2 linked regions of the Alligator mississippiensis genome follow. The main gene of each other region encodes a partner of the protein of the gene in region 2 in a complex. Links are inferred from orthologs where the notes say so. Each region holds a gene or a part of one and is shown on either strand. Other genes may lie near its edges. The genes, in order: PLXNA4 and NRP1.

Region 1 (7,912 bases), on a different chromosome or scaffold from region 2:
AAACTCCCACTGGATAGAGATGGGAGCTGAACTGGGCTCTTTACCATTCTGTGCCTCAGTTTGCCCACCTGTAAAATGGGAATAATGCTGCTTTCTCACTGCTCTAGAGAGCTTTGAGGTCTTTGGATGAGGAAACCCATCTTCTGCAGATTTCACTGTTTTTTCCACGCTCGAGCTCAAATGAGCTAATGTGCTTTAAACTCCTAACTGCGTGCTCATCAGCCAGCAGTCAGACAGCACTTAGCAAGTATAAGCTGCAGCCACATTCAGGCTTCCTTCGCAGACAGGGAGCCTCAGTCATACCGATGTTTGGAGGGGCTATTTAGTGCATCACTCATATTTGGAAGATGCCCCCAACTCCACATAAAGAAGGAACTGGAAATAGCCCTTTGCCCTGTTCTTCTTGCCCCGAGAAGCACCAGTCAGCCTGTGCTTCATCAATAATAGGCCCTACAAGGCATTATAATGACAACCACACCTACGACTACTCATGCAGGTCGAAGGGTGGACTGCTGAATAGGATTTTGGGCTGGGACATGGGAGGCCCACGTGTAGTTCCCAGCGCAGCCACAGACTCTAGGTGCCCTTGTAGCTCAGGTTGTATTAATCAAACGGTTGTAACACATCCCTACGTTTCAAGAACGTTGCGATGATAAAATCCATTCATAGCTGTGAGGCCCTCAGGTGCTATGGTAACAAAAGCCCTATTAGCACACACAAAAGTGATGCAAATTCTCTTCAAAATATCCATATACGACTCCAGTCTGCAAAGCTTGGTACCACTGACCCCAGAACCGAATAATACCCCGATGCCACGCAACACTGACATGCTAGCCCGGCGCTCGGAAACCTCCAGTGACAACACGAGCAGCAGATTGCTAAAGAGCTTTTCCATCTCCCTGCCAAGCAAGGCGTGGATTTGAAAGCAGCACTAACCCTAAACGCACCGCGCTACAACGCGCTTACAGCTTACTTGCATCCGCGGCTCTCAGGAAGCTGCAGGACCCCCGGGAAGGCACACGGTAGCGTGCCCATTTGAAGGCAAGGAAACTGGGGTGGAGGGGGAGAGACGTGGCTTGTTAAAGGAGTCCCACAAGAGAAATCCCGAGTCCTGGCTCAGTCATGAAGCTGGAAGACTCCTGGCACAGCCAAGACCATTGCAAGTGAAGGCCTCCACCTTAATTATGGACCATTACAAACAACCCATCATAACTCAGCAGCCAAAGTCCTCCTGGGAGTGTCTGCCTGGCTGCCTGCCTTGCCTCACCACTTGCAGAGCCCCTCATTGCCACGTCTGTGCAGCACCAAGCACAGCGTGAGCAGAGACCTGCGGGGAGCTTGGCACGTAGGAAAATAAAGGGAAATGTCAGCATTTCCTTTCCCCAGTGGCGAGGCTCGGTGCATCTCTGAGGATCTTCCCTAGCACTCACCCCTGACGTACCAGGGCACTGGGCTGCCTACATGGACCAGACTTAAAAATGGTCTTTGGCGCCTAGAAGACAGTTACAATCATGCAGCAAAAGCTTCCAAAAAGCACCGTGATTGATCCTCGGGAGGTATTTTAAAACGCCTGTCTTGGACATAAACACCACTTAAATCTCACAGCTGTCATTTATTTTGCATCCTATCGATTTCTCCGCCGGCCACAAATTTAAGGCAGGACTGAATGGCAGGCTCCGGCTAAAAGCTGCAGCCAGTTCTCCGAGGAAGGAGCTCACTAGACAAAGTTATTTAAAGGCATCCTCGTGTAGCAGGTATTCAGGCCAAGGAGGGGGGGGGAAACCCAACAAAAACCCATCAGTTTGGAAATTTTTTCCTTCCAACCCGAACGTGCGAGCAAAGCAGACACGGAGCACATCTGTTGCACCGTTTGAAGCCCCGCTCGGATGAAACACGCTCTACCTAAGGGCTCCCAAATTTTTTTTTATTTTTTTTTTTAAAGAACAGACAATTCAAATAATAACCTAAATGCTGCTCTGATCCCTGAAACCTCGAGGCTATGACTCAGGGAAAAGAGGGAAGGGGGGGGGGGGGTGGAAAAAAAACACCACCTAATCTCCCGCTGAGAGGCACACATTGTAATTAAAAGGCAGAAAAGGCAAAGACAAGCCACCCCATGCGCCGCTGGTCCTATCCATTCAAAGATTATTGGGTTGTTTTTTTTTATGAACGATACCCGAGTGAAACAGAGGGCAGATCCAAAAAGAAGGTAGCACGCTTGATGCCTTCCAAAATATTTGCGGAGACCCGATGCATGCTAAAATAAGGACTCGAGAGGAGGCGGCGGGGGGGACCGAGTCGCCTGTCACCCCCCACAAAACCCCCTTGGCCGGAGGGACGGCGAGCGGTGCCCACCCCTGCCCCGCTGGCGTGCCCCCGCGCCCCTCGGATACCTGCACGAACTTCCAGCGGCGACATCGCCTGCTCTTTGTGGCAGAGGGAAGCCATGAAAAGCAGGTGGATGACAACCAGGCGCTTTTTTGCAGGGGAATAAACCCAAGCGGCGCTGACTCCGGGGGGAAGTTTGGAAACAGGAGGGGGGACTCAATGAAAGGCAGCTAGCTGTCTTTCTTTAATTTGGGGGGGGTTTGAAAGGGAGGGATAAGGAGGGTCTTTCAAGCTGCAACTTCACACAACCCATGCAGAGGGGTTTCTCTGCATCCCCGCGCTCACCTGGCAGCCCGCGGAGGCTGCGGGGCACCCCCATCCCCAAGGGGCAGAAAGCAGTGAGGGGGGTTTTGGCTCCTCCATGCTACAAGGGGTGGAAAGTTTGGGAGCTGGGCAAGGCTGGGTCTTACCTGGCGGCGCCGGGCTGCGGCTGCCGCTTCCCCCGGGCGCTCAGCGCCGGCGCCGCATTGCCGCTGCGGCGGAGCCCGGCCCCGACCCCGGAGCCCGGGCGCGGGGGATGCTCACTCCGCCATGCCCGCAGCCCCGAGCCAAGTTGTGCGGGGCCGGAGCGGGGCTGCTGCTGCTGCTGCTGCTGCTGCTGCTGCTGCTGCCACCTCCTTCGCCTCGCCTCGCCTCGCCTCGCCTCGCCCGCCGCCGCCCGCGCACTGAAGCGCTGCCAAGTCTGCAACTCCCTCCCTGCGCCGCGGCGGCTCGGCTCGCTCGGCTCGGCTCGCTCGGCGCGGCGTGGCTCGCTGCTGACACCTAGGAGCGCCGCCTCCGCCGCGCCTCCCTCCTCTGCCGCCCCTGCCTCTGCCTCTGCCCCTGCCCCGCCGCGCCGGGATGGGATGGGACGGGACGGGACGGGGCGGGGAGGAGCCCCCGCGCGCTCCCTGCCGCCCGGCAAAGACACCACCTCGTCCCCACCGGGGAGCAGGGATGGGGGCTGAGCACAGACCGGCTGCAGCCTCCCCTGCTGCCAGGAGAGAGCTAAGGGCGGGGAGATCATCCTGCAATAGCCAGTGGGGAGAGCATGTTGATCTCTGCTGGGGAGCAGGGGTGGGTGCTGAGCCCGGAGGAGCCAAAGTCTCCCCAGGAGATAGCCAAGGGGGGGAGATCATCCTGCAAATAGCCAGGGGGAAGATCACCCTCATCTCTGCGGGGGAGCAGGGGTGGGTGCTGAGCCCGGAGAAACCTCCCCAGGAGATAGCTAAGGGGGGATCATCCTGCAATAGCCAGGGGGAGATCATGTTGATCTCTGTCGGGGAGCAGGGGTGGGTGCTGAGCCCGGAGGAGCCAAAGTCTCCCCAGGAGATAGCCAAGGGGGGGAGATCATCCTGCAAATAGCCAGGGGGAAGATCACCCTCATCTCTGCGGGGGAGCAGGGGTGGGTGCTGAGCCCGGAGAAGCCAAAGTCTCCCCAGGAGATAGCCAAGGGGGGGAGATCATCCTGCAATAGCCAGGGGGAGATCATGTTGATCTGTGCTGGGGAGCATGGGGGTGCTGAGCCCTGAGGGCAGGAGAGAAGGCACCGTCAGCCTCGTACCAGGGGGATGGGTGCTGAGCGCAGACAAGCTGCAGCCTCCCCTGCCACCCAGGAAATAGCCAGGGTGGAGATCATGTTGATCTCTGCGGTGGATCATGGGTGGGTGCTGAGCCCAGACAGGCTGCAGCCTCCCCTGCTTTCCAGTACATAACCAGGGTAGAGATCATCTTGATCTCTGCCAGGGCTCATGGATGGGTGCTGAGCCAAGACAAGCCAAAGCCTCCCCTGCTGCCCAGGAAATAGCCAGGGTGGAGATCATCCTGACCTCCATCTCAGCTCGTGCGTGGGTGCGGAGCCGAGACAAGCTGCAGCCTCCTCTGCTGCCTAGAAAATAGCCAAGGTAGAGATCATCCTGATCTCCACCTCGGATCATGGGTGGGAGCTGAGCCCAGATAAGCTGCAGCCTCCCTTGCTTCCCAGGAAACAGCCAGGGTAGAAGTCATCTTGATCCCTGCCATGCATGGGTGCTGAGCCCTGAGCCCAGACAAGCTGAAACCTCCCCTGCTGCCCAGCACGTATCAGCCTCAACCATCCCTCTATTCAAGGATGATCTCCATCCCGGCTCACAAAGCATCCCCAGCAAATAGCCGGGGCAGAGGACCCTCTGCCACAGCTCGTGGATGGGTCCTCAGCCCTGACAGGCTGCAGTCTCCCCAGCACATGTCCTCCTCACCCGTCCCTCCGTTCAAATATGATTTCTACCAGGGCTCACAGGTGGGCCCTGAGGTGACTCAAGTCCAATCCTCGAGCCACAAACCTGTCCGCACAAGTGCGTCTTTCCTCCAGGGAAAGGAGGCTGCAGGCTGACAGCCCTCTGCTTTTCCTTCCTCTGTCTCCCCCCTTCTTCCCAGCAAATATCCTTATCCTCAGCAATCCCTCCATTCATCTCTACCACGGCTCATTCGTGGGTCTTGCGGTGACTTAAAGCATCCAATTCTCAAGCCACACGCTGGTCCGCGCAAGTTGCAGGTCTGTCTGCCAGGAAGAGGAGGCTGCAGGCTGGGATTTCTCTCCTACCCCCTCCCCCAGGTCCTGCTTGCCAGCCTCGGAAACCCCCTGTCCCCCACGCCACCCCCTGACCTGCTCCAGTTGGGCCCTCCTCAAAGGTGGAGGAGCAGTGCAATGCCCAGGGTGGGAGGAAAGCCTTGCTGCTGGGATGTGCAAATCAGCTCAAGCCAGGGGGCTGCAGCTCAGCTCCTTACCAAAAAAAGCCATGTAGCCTAAATGCTCAGGTGATGGGCATTTACAGAGCAGGCTGGAAGGGATCCCAAGGGTCCTCTAGGCCAGCTCCCTACCGGAAAGGCCCAGGAGAGGGAGAGGAAAGAGAAAGGTCAGGGCCAAGGGCTCTGGTGCTGGATCCATTATGGTTGGGAAATAGTTTGGGTCCAATCCTACAGCTGCCTCTGTGCAGGGCTGTGTGCACACAGCACCCAGCAGGCCCTTCCTCCAAGCAGGACCACGATCCCAGGACAGCCAGCCTGCACGCGCTGCGGCGGCAGGGACTCACCCTGACTTTGCACAGCACCCAGGCTCTGCTTTGTGGCCAAGGCCTCCCCAACACTAATACATATGAATATTTCAAAGCACTATGTTCTTATTTCCCTTTCATGTGCATGCAGCAAAACACCGGGGTGAAATCTATTTCCATCCCCTTCTGCCCCGATGCATTTATTTTTAAACAGTATTGTGTATTCCTCAAAACAAGTTTGATCTCTCCTTCTCCCCACCTGTGTGTATGTACATGTGTACATGGACTGAGCTCTGGTTTACATTTCCTGATGGATAAATGTGGATTCAAAGCCCACCCTCCAACCCCCCTCCTTTTAAGGTGGCGCATAAAATGTATTTATTAGGCTTTATCTCCTGCCTCTTGCAAGGAGTCATTTGTTTTCATTCAGAGAAATGAATGCCATGCAAAACCTGAAGAGTAATAACAGCACAAAATGACAAGGGAAGAGCGAGACAGAAATCCGAAAGATACAATGGCAGGTGAATAACCTCGGCAGATCGCTGCCGCCGTGAGCGGTACGGTATTATTTAATGTCCATTCTGACATGCGCTTGGATATCATAATGCACGTGAAAATCCCTGGGAAATTTGGCTCAGCATTTACAACTCGGCCGTCCTTAGAAGAGATGATCTGGGTTTAGTCCTGTTCCTTTCTATTAGCTGGGGAGGAGGAAGAATTAATTAATAGGAATTCCTCTTCGTTCTTAAAAAACAATGGCTGGAGTCAACGCATCCCTCAGCTCTCTGGAGTCCAGAAAAGAATGAGTGACAAATGAGACTTTATTTATAGGCCCTTTCATGCACTCGGCAGTGGGGGGAGGAGAGGGGTCAGGACTGGATAACCCACGCGGCCTCCTCTGACCCGAGGAATGCTTGCAGAAAAAGAGCCCGAGGGTATGCGGGGTCCGGATCCGCAGAGTCAAAATCAATGGGATTATTTTTGCCGTCCACTATGGCGTGAGCAGGATTGTCCCCAGCCTGCTGACTGCAAAGAGAACGGGCCTTATCCTGAGCATCGCTGAGGGCCCGTGCTTTGCCGCCGATGGTGAGAGCTCAGCGCTGATCAGGATCGAGGCCTGACTTTACATTAGTGTGGACTGAGTCTGGCAGGGGAGAGCTGTTTCCGTGCTGTCTACCTGCAGTGCCTGATTCCCCCCTGCTGTCCAAAACATCCTGTTTAGCCTCCCATGGCTAATAATGTCCTAGATTTTGATACAGTCGCTGCGCTCCCCATTTAAACTCTCGGAGATTTCTTCCCCGATGGCGACTCGGTAGATAGCTACCGGCACACGCAGCCTTTCATTTTGTGCCTTGTTATCTAGCCACATACAGGGATCATTTATGACAACACCGAAGGTTTCTGATCAGAAAAATATATTTCTTCCTAGGGTATTTTTTAACTTGACTGTCCCTAATTATGCAACAGAGAAGCCAAAATTAAAAAGGTAAAAAGAAAGAGGACGACTCCAACAAGTCTCCCTCCTTCCCCCACCATTTAACAGGTCTGTAAACCAACCAGTTCTTTAAGTTGATAGAAGCCAGAGATGCTTGTTAACTAAGTCAGCTGGCGCAGCTTTCCGATTTGGTCTGCGTTTCTGCAAATCTGAGCAACTGGCGGTTAAAAACCTAAATTGTGGTGCCACCTGCAGGCCGCCAGAAATTTCAGCAGCTCTGGAAATCACTTAATCCAAGATAAGGAGTGTTAAAAAAACAAAAACCCTGTGGGATGGGGCTGGGGTCTCTGCTGATGTGCGCCACAGTGTGCAATTGTGCAGAGATGCACTCCCGGGTGTGCAGGTGCCCGGGATAATGCCACTTCTAAGCTCCCCGAGGGCCCTCATTTCACCTTGCATCTCGCAATGGTGCCCCAGGCCCAGGTTATCCTAGCATGGCACACCTCTCGTTGCTCACACGTCCTGTAGGAGCACCTTCAATCAAAAGCTGTTAAGTTAATTTAATTTTCCAAATGCTAAATGCCACAATGATATAGTAATAGCTGGGGCTGCTGAAGGAGCTCTGCTCAGCTCTTCGATTTCCTGGATCAAAATCCTGATGTCCCCCCCTCCCCTTTCTCTTTCTGATGTTAGAAGCTTAAACAACTTTCCTAGCTTTGCTGACATCCAGAGACAAAAAAATCGGCCTCCCCTTCCCAGTTGTCACCGTCTCTGTTTCTGACAAAGAATGTCTTTATCGTGCTATCAGAGTGTAAAAATTTCATTACAATCTGTTTTAAAGCTGGTCCAGTGCTTTGCATTGTCATTCCTTGCACTCCTGGGAGGAATGGAGTCAATCTATTGCTTTTGGGATTGGCCGACACAGGGGAAGACTGAGCAGATTGCACAGATTATATGCCCCGGTTGGTGCCAAAGAAAAAGAAGTGGGAAAATGGAAAGGGAGGGTCTTGTCTCTGAGTCTTTGGCTTGAGACATACAACACCCACCTGGACAGACCCCTGGAAAATTTAGTGTTGAG
Region 2 (8,184 bases):
TTCTAACCAAATGTGAAAAGCTAAAATTGATAAAACCAGCTTATTATCTAAGGAACTTTTATCACAATTTAGGGCATGCTTTCTCTTCCTTTGAAGTCAGTGGGTGCATCTACAAGTGCACATTTACTGTGCAGTAACCAAAATTACTGCTCAGTATGAGTGCACCTTACACATGCATGCCTACTGTGCAGTAAATACAGCGACTTATGCTGACTTGACCATAAATTTGATACCTACATCATGCAGGTATCAAATTTATGCCTGTTTAGTTACTACACAGTAATGCATGTGTAGACACCTTATTGCGCAGTAACACTTTTTGTGTGGACTGTCTTGGGACTAACTTTGAAGCCTGCATATGTAGATGTTGGTCTCTTCTCGCTTACTGCGCAGTAACTTACTGTGCAGTAAATTTAAGCCAGTGTAAATGCATGTGTAGACACACCCAATGAAAGTTTTATCCTTGCTCTCAATAGGAATGTGATCAGCTCCTTAGCTTCAGACAGATCTATAGGTGTTATTTCCTTGATAATTGGTGATAACTACTTAAGAATCATTTTAGTCTACCAGGTATTGTTATTTCTTACTAATTTATGATTAAATATCAGTTAGGGTAATATAGTGTCATAAATTAAATTATGCTTCACATATCCTTTTTTTACAGCCTAATCAGAAAAGACAAACAACAGCAAGTCAAGCCACAAACAATAGTTCAGGAAAAGGAAGGTTTAGAGAGATGGCTGAGTGAGAAAAAGGGGAAGGAAAGGGTTGTGTAGATGTAGAAAAGATTCCAGGAGAGATTACTGGTAACACAATGAGGGGCACAGTTTAAGGAACTGAATAGAACAGAACAAAGCCTAGGAAAGAGGAAAAGATCTTCCAGTACAAAAAAAAAAAAAAAGAAAAAAAGAAAGAGAAACAGGCTCTTTCAGATATATGTGGCTGCATTTTGGAGACAGCAGAAGGCAGGGTAGAAATACACCTTATAGGATAGAGAAAACCATTGTATGTGAGAGTGAGTAGGAGGATGTACATTGTAGGAGGTGAAAACATATGGGGAAAGAAAGCTGTAGAGGAAGGCAAGCGTATGCGTGATCTTAAAGATAAGGGAAAGAAGCTTGAGTTCAGGGCACTAAAAGACAGGAAGCCATCTAAGAGATTTGAGGAAGTGGTTGATGGATCCAAAGAAACAGAAGAGTAGATGACATGAAAGCCCCATTTTGGACAGACACTACTTTAGCAGATAACTGAGAAACAGGATGGCCAGAGAAGACAGGATTACAAATAGACAAAGCATGAACTAGAACCAGATAAAGAAACTATCACATATTAGCTTTGCTTCCAGATCTGCAATAAAAACTAATGGAATTACTTTGATATAAAGTCACAGTGCACATCTCTGTTTGTCAGAAGCTAATATCTTGGATGGTTTTAATTTGTTCTATTCTTTTTCAAAATAACTCCAAATAAATATGTCTACCTTCATGATTATTTGCTTGCCAAACTTCGTTTTTTAATTAAATTTACTTCTGAGTTACATGAGTGCAGAAAAGAGGTAAACTTCAAAGTTGTTCTCTACTGTCGTTTAAATGGCAAACTATATTTTTCATTTGGTAGTTTAAGTTTTATATTACATGATTTAGCTAAGGGCAAATATTTGGTATGGCTGAATTATAAACTTCTCAAGAAGCAGGTTTATAATGGAAGTGGAGACAATCTTCAATAAGGCATTATAAACATTAAATCAAATTTCAAAGCAGAGACGGATCTGAACCAAAAGCCTAGAGGTGACCACTCCATGAACTTTGGCACAAAGTAGATTCAGATTCAGATGTTATAACCCCAGCCAGCCCCAACTAGGAAATCACTTTATTGATATAAAGATGTAAAGTTAAGCACATATGAAAGCATTTGCAGGATCAGTACAATAAAATGCAATAACCAAAATGTGAGAAATGGATTGCAGAACACAGGCTTCTGAGTATTTCATTTGATTCTAGTTTATATTTTAGATGATTAAAGATTCAACATGTTCAGATAATAAATAAATGGAAACTGGGGGCAAGGTGCTTTCAAACAATATTTGATGATGCTCATACATGGATGGAAGAGTGTGCATATGGATGTCTGCAAGAAAGAGATGAACAGAAAAAACATTGATGACATATGATAAGAGAAAAGGATGTTCGTATGCTGAGTTGTAGTACAATATCATGCACACTCAGAATAATATAAAGGAAATCTAACTCAAGATCTCAGTTTAGTTCTGAAGAAAGGAAGGAGTCCTGCTTTAAAGGAGGTTGCTGCTGTCTGGTAGCAAAATTGGATCTGTAGCCTAGTGCACACGTCTCTATAAGGGAAAAGGAACCATAGATTCTCTATATCTTAGTACACAGCTATCCAACTGGTGTCCTGCAGGCCACATACAGCTCTCAAGGGGTTACATTGCAAACCTCCCCCCCCTCCAGGCTCCTGCCAGTCTGCCACTCCCTCTGTCACTCCAAATGCAACAGCAGCCAGGGTCTCTGGCACCTTTGCCCCCCACCCCTTCCTGTCTCCAGTCCAGGGGGCAGGGAAGTGTGGTACAGGGTGATTTGGGGACCTAAGGATGCACTGCAGCTGTGGAAGGAGTTGCCAAGTGGGTGTGCAGTACCGCAGTGGGCACCATGCAAGTACACAGTGCAGCAATCAGGGATTGGGGACTGAGAGGCCAAGAGCCACAGGTTATGTGGCCCCCAGCCCCTTAGATGTAAGACAGCCCTGCCTTAGATTGTTGTAAATAGTCCTGGGATGTGGATTTAGTGCTCACCAGACAGGTGAGGTAGTGAAAGCAGCAATCATCACTTTTTTTTGCAAAATAGTACATGGATATTGCCTCCACATACATGGTGAATCTATTTGCTCTGTATTTACATGACTTATTTTAATTTTGATTATTTACATTTCTTTTAAAATATACAAAATAATAGTACTCTAAAGCTGAATATACATTTAATACATGAAAAAAGAACTTGCGTATCTGTTAGGAAAACAAAGTCAAAAGACAGATGGGTTTTTGTTTGGAGCACCCTAGAATAATGCATTTGGGAATGGATTTATTCTCTCTGTGACTTCATAGAGATGCACAACAGAACAACACTAGTCCCAAAGGAAGACAGCCATCATTTTCAGATGATGTGTAACATTTTAATACACTTATTCTTTGGGTGTTTGTTCAATAAGTAAAAATAAGACTATACTCAGCCTCTGAGACTGTTTTAAACACAAGTTATTAAAAACTCAAACAGACAACCTTAAATATGGAATTTACTAACTCAAAAAGTAGATACACCTCCTTGAAAAAGCTACATTGTGTCTCCAAAAGTGTCAGCCTAGCAGTTATATTAGGGATAGCACCATCTTAGGGGTGTGCTACACTGTGTCCACTCAGCATCTGTTCTTTAATAATCAGAGCAAAGTCATCCCAGACCCCCTCCCCAAGCTGCTGGAATATCACTAAGAAAGGCGGGGAAATCCGGTGGATCTTAATGTGCCATCCATAAAATATACATCACAATCGATCAAGAGGTATATGATGGGTGCCGAGACTGGCTGAAGACAGGGAAATGAGAAAAGGCTGAGACTAAACTTACTGTATTGACGTCTGACTAGCAGCTGGCAGCCAGCTCGTGATGAGCCAGGAACCAGTCTGCTCGAAGGCATAGGTAAGGGTTGAGATGGAGGAAAGAGAAGAAGTGGGTATTCAGCTATGATTAGGAGAACAAATTGCAGCTGAACTTTGGATATGATGAGACTGGAATCAGGAAACAGAAGAAGACTATCTGGTCCTGTGCCTGGCATTCAGGAACAACAATTATGATAGAGGGCATACTATAAAATAGTGATGAGCTAGATAGTCAGTTCTTTAAAGGACAGGACCATCTGCTCAGAAAGACAAAAGAATGGATAATGGAAATGAGGTGAGATTGAGTCAAGTTTGGAGGAGTCTAAGGCTGAGTGTGATTTCTCAGCAGGGATACAACATGTTTGTAGCTTTGTTGCATGCAACTGCAGACTTGTACAACTGTGTCTGAAAATTATTTCAACCACAGTTACAGGGGACAGGGATTTATGTTCTACTGCACAAGGCAAATGACCCTGGCCTCAATAGCGTCAAATCATTTTCTCACAGCATCCTCTAAAAAAATCTCTTTGTGGAACGAATTCCCTAATATGCTTTGGTTGCTGTGGTGGTGGTGGTAAGTTTTAACAGTGCTTGGCCCTGCTGTACACTAGTAACAAATTGTTTCCCAGCACCGGGGAGGAAGAAGGACCATGCAGCTGTAGGCTGTTTCCTAGAGCAGACCCATCCACCTTTCAGCCCTTAGAGGCCTTTCTCTACCCCTACCACAGCTCCCACAATAAAGGCAGTCCCGTTGAATCCAGGAGCTGCATGTGCCCTGCGTAAAGGGCTCCAATGGGGAGGTCTCCAAGGCAGGCCAGTAGGGCAAAGCAGGGATGGCAGCCGGACAGAAAGGAAAGAAAGATGCCAAGGCCCCTGTAATCCCAAGCCTGTCCCGCTGCTCGCCAGCCAGCGCCTGTGCCCTGGTGCTGGGGGCAGAGCGATGCAGTGATCTGCTTGCCAAGTATCTGGTGCTGGGCATTCCCTGCCCCAGAAGACACAGGCGGCCCCCTGGCATGGAGGGGGCAGGACAGGTTGTGGTAAGGGGCGAGAAGACACCCAGGCTGGGGAAGGAAGACTTCGAAGATGGGACGGGGAGGGGAGGCGAGCCCCTGGCAGCGGGCGGCGGCGGGCAGGAGCGGGGGAGTCTCCTCGCAGGCGCTGCAGGGGGCGCTGGGGGAGCCCCGGCCATGCCCCGGCTGCCGCCTGCCCCTCACCCCGGGGCGGCCGCGGGCTGGCGGGTCGTCCCTGGCTCCGGGCTGATCCTGCCCGGCTGCCCGCACCTCGGGGGGCGAGGAGGAGCCGGCGGAGGAGGAGGAGGAGGGCGGGCAGGGGGAGGGGCCGGGGCTCGGCAAGCGGCGGCTCCTCTGCCTCTCTTATTGCCGCGAGTCGCGCTCCCGCTCGCAGGCTGCGGGAAGGAGCCGCCCGCGAGCTTCGCACTTGAGCCGCCCGCCCCGGCCAGGTTGGTGGGGCAGCGGCAGCGGCAGCGGCAGCTCCCGGCCGGGGAAGCGGGTGCCGCGAGCCGGACGGCGCAGGGCAGGGCGCACGAGGCAGGAGGTCGCCCGAGGGCTCCCCCCTCATCGCCTCTCCACTCCCTCGTGTCCCCGCAGGCTCGCCACCCGCCCCTGCCCCCGCCCCCGCCCCCGCCCCGCCAGGATCCGGGCTCCGCCGGGCCGGGCATGGCCGGGGCAGCGCCGCCGGGGCGCGGAGCGAGCGCGGGGCCCGGGAGCTGAGCCGCGGGTGCGGGCGCCCGAGCCGCGACGCCGGGACTGAGCCGCCGCCGCCGCGGAGCTCGCCTCTGCCCCCGCGCCCGCGGGAGGATTTGGGATCGGAGACGAGCCGGGTGCCGAGGGGGCGCTCGGCTCGGGGGTTTGTGCTTCCCCTCTGCTTGCTGCCTGCCCACGAGGGAAGATGGCCTGGGGACTCCTCCTGCACTGCGCGGCGCTCGCCCTCGCCCTCGCCCTCGCCCGGGCTTTGCGGAGCGGTAAGTGGCGGGGCCGGGCAGCTGGGAGCGAGCGAGCGCCACGACCGCCGCCGGCGGGGCCGCCCCTGGGCAGCGCCGCGCTCGGGGCCCCGCAGGTGTCGGCGATCCCTGCCCCGCGCCCGCGCCCGCGCCGCCCTCACGCCTCCGCACCGGCAGCCCGCGGCTCCCCGCGCCGGAGCGGGCAGGGGACAGCGGAGGGTCCGGCCGGGCGGGGATCCCCTGACAAGGACTTTGGCAGAGACTTTACTTTCAGGCGACACTTGGACACGCAGCGCCGAGCCTCCCGAGCGGCCCCGCGGCGCAGCCGGGCTGGAGCAGGCTAGGGACTGTTTGACAGGAAAGAGCTCGCCTCAGTTCTTCCTCTCCCAGTAAACCCTGAGCCATTCCCATGAACTAATGATCAAATATTTACTTTGGCCTGACTGGGTTTTGAATCCAAGTGATTAAAGGAAGAGGCTTACAGTGGGATATGGTTTCAATAACAGAGACCACAAGTGGCGTGGCTGGCACAGGGAGGGAGTGGACTCCCCCTTGCTCTTCCCCGGGCGCTGGAGGAGGCTGCGGGGCTGGAGCCCTCCCGCAGCGAGCTGCCCTGTGCCAGTCTGAAGCGGGGCAGCATTAGTGAGCTCCAGTGGGGTCCCGAGGTGAGGAGTGGGCAGTGCCCCTCCTTTTCAGTCTGAAGCAGACTGTGTAGGTGGACCCCGCTGCTCCCTATTCGGGCCGGGCTTAGAGGCCAGCGTGGGAAAATCCTGGGGCTGTACCGACTGCATGGGACCGGGTGATGGGGATGTGTGGGGTGTGCTTTGGCAATAGTCTTCCTTCAGGAAGGAACAGGGAAGGCGGCGGCTGTTGCTGGAGCTAAGGAGCAGGCTCCCTGTGTATAGTCATAGACATGATGTAGTAGCCCTATCAAGGCACCAAGGCTGTTAACCTCGCCTGTGACTTTCCAGACCTACTAATGCCCTGTCCACCCTCATCCAGTACCAGTGCCTGCTGAATTAATTCATTAACCTTATTTAGTCCAAACGGCCCGAAGACATTAGAAACTGCTCTTCTTAATCAAGTGTCAGAGAGATTTCACAGAGCCGGGGAGTCTAACAGACCACATTATCTTATTATACTGTCACTTTCCCAGAAGTCGCAGATTAAAGAGCACTGGTGGTAGTGAGTGCACCTCTACATCTCCTGAAGTGACTCTGTCAAGTGACTAGAAACAGCACTGTTTTATTTCACTCATTTAACAGATGCCAGATTCTGCCATGTTGTTTGCACAGAGCTGAAGTGGATTTAATGAGGCAGGATTGCTTTCCAAGTCTGCTACACGCTGAAAATAATGCAAGGGTCTGTTGGAACCATAGGCAAAAAGATCACTAGTGGCACATTTAGGGCAGTACCTTTTGTTCTTGGCAATGGGGGGGAAATGGTTTCCAAAGCCAAAAGGCAAACAGATAATAAGCTAGTGCCATCCTAGGAATGGGTAGGAATATGCAGTCTTTGATAGCATGGGTAGGAATATCTGGTCTTTGGGAAAAAAAAAAACAAAACATAGACTCCATCACTTCCTTCCCTTATAATTTATAGCAAATGATTTCTATAATGCGTGTAGCTTTATGCATTTTTGATGCACACTTCATCTTTCATTTCCATTTGACCTGGTTTTCCTGTAATAAAATTCTGTACATTCATAAATTCATGCTGAGAGCAAGGAATGCCATTTTCCTTCCACGGGGAATCTATTAGATACAGTGTTACAATCAGTGTATACCATTATTGGGAAATAGTGATACATGGGCTTATTTATTAGTGCATACCTGCTTCTCTTCTATAGTTTATTGCCATATCTTATTGCTGAAAATGAAATATCGGTATATGGGGGAAAAGTGTTTTGGGCTGAAGATCCGCAGTAGGAAATCCATAGTAATGAAATGTGACAATGCAAGCCTATCCTGGACAATGGAACAACCAACTTGGCAAAGCCCTTTTAGCTTTGCATTACTTTCCTCTATTTAGTCTGCTAAAAAACATTATCATATTTCATTGTTTGCAAAGGAGCAAGATGTAGAAGACTAAATTTCATACTTGCATCTGGTGACTGGTAACTTTTTCAACTGTTTAGGAATAAACCTTTTGTTGCTGTTGTTTTTGGGGGGAGAAAGCGGTTCTGCTTCATTACTTTGATCTGGTCCCCAGGCATGAACAAACTTCCTTAAAGGAGTAATACTGAATGATTTCTGCTTCACTAAATGCACTTTGTTCTCTGTTAGTCTGGATTTAAAGAGCACTGATAACTTCAAATTGCTTAGATTTATGGGCTGATAAACAAAAGAAGGGTCTGCTGTGAGCAAAGTAGGGGACTACAAGACAACCCCTGATGGTCAATGACACAGGCCAGGCTTATTATCAAATAGCTGTGCAGGGGGGCAGACAGCATCTTTTTAGACCCTTTCCACTTAAAACTTGTTGCCTAATGAGATTACACTTCTCTGAGATAATTAAATCTAAAAGAAACCCCTGTGAGCCAATGTTACCATCAATTGTG

Evidence for each region.
Region 1: the proteins of NRP1 (region 2) and PLXNA4 are in contact, whole or in part, in a cryo-EM structure (PDB 7M0R), measured with the Mus musculus proteins. The link is inferred for Alligator mississippiensis from reciprocal best matches to the Homo sapiens genes NRP1 and PLXNA4. Residues at the interface, in NP_032763.2 of Mus musculus: Arg80, Tyr84, Asp126, Tyr127, Glu128; in NP_786926.2 of Mus musculus: Glu272, Lys340, Lys343, Lys345, Leu349.

What each region holds. Positions count from the first base shown.
Region 1 is NC_081827.1:7,788,159-7,796,070, reverse strand, and holds the start of PLXNA4 (plexin-A4), read right to left. Parts: upstream 3,231-7,912; 5' UTR 2,799-3,230; intron 1-2,798. UniProt on the Homo sapiens protein: Coreceptor for SEMA3A. Necessary for signaling by class 3 semaphorins and subsequent remodeling of the cytoskeleton. Plays a role in axon guidance in the developing nervous system. Class 3 semaphorins bind to a complex composed of a neuropilin and a plexin.
Region 2 is NC_081828.1:193,671,962-193,680,145, reverse strand, and holds the start of NRP1 (neuropilin-1), read left to right. Parts: upstream 1-5,057; 5' UTR 5,058-5,572; coding exon 5,573-5,645; intron 5,646-8,184. UniProt on the Homo sapiens protein: Cell-surface receptor involved in the development of the cardiovascular system, in angiogenesis, in the formation of certain neuronal circuits and in organogenesis outside the nervous system. Mediates the chemorepulsant activity of semaphorins.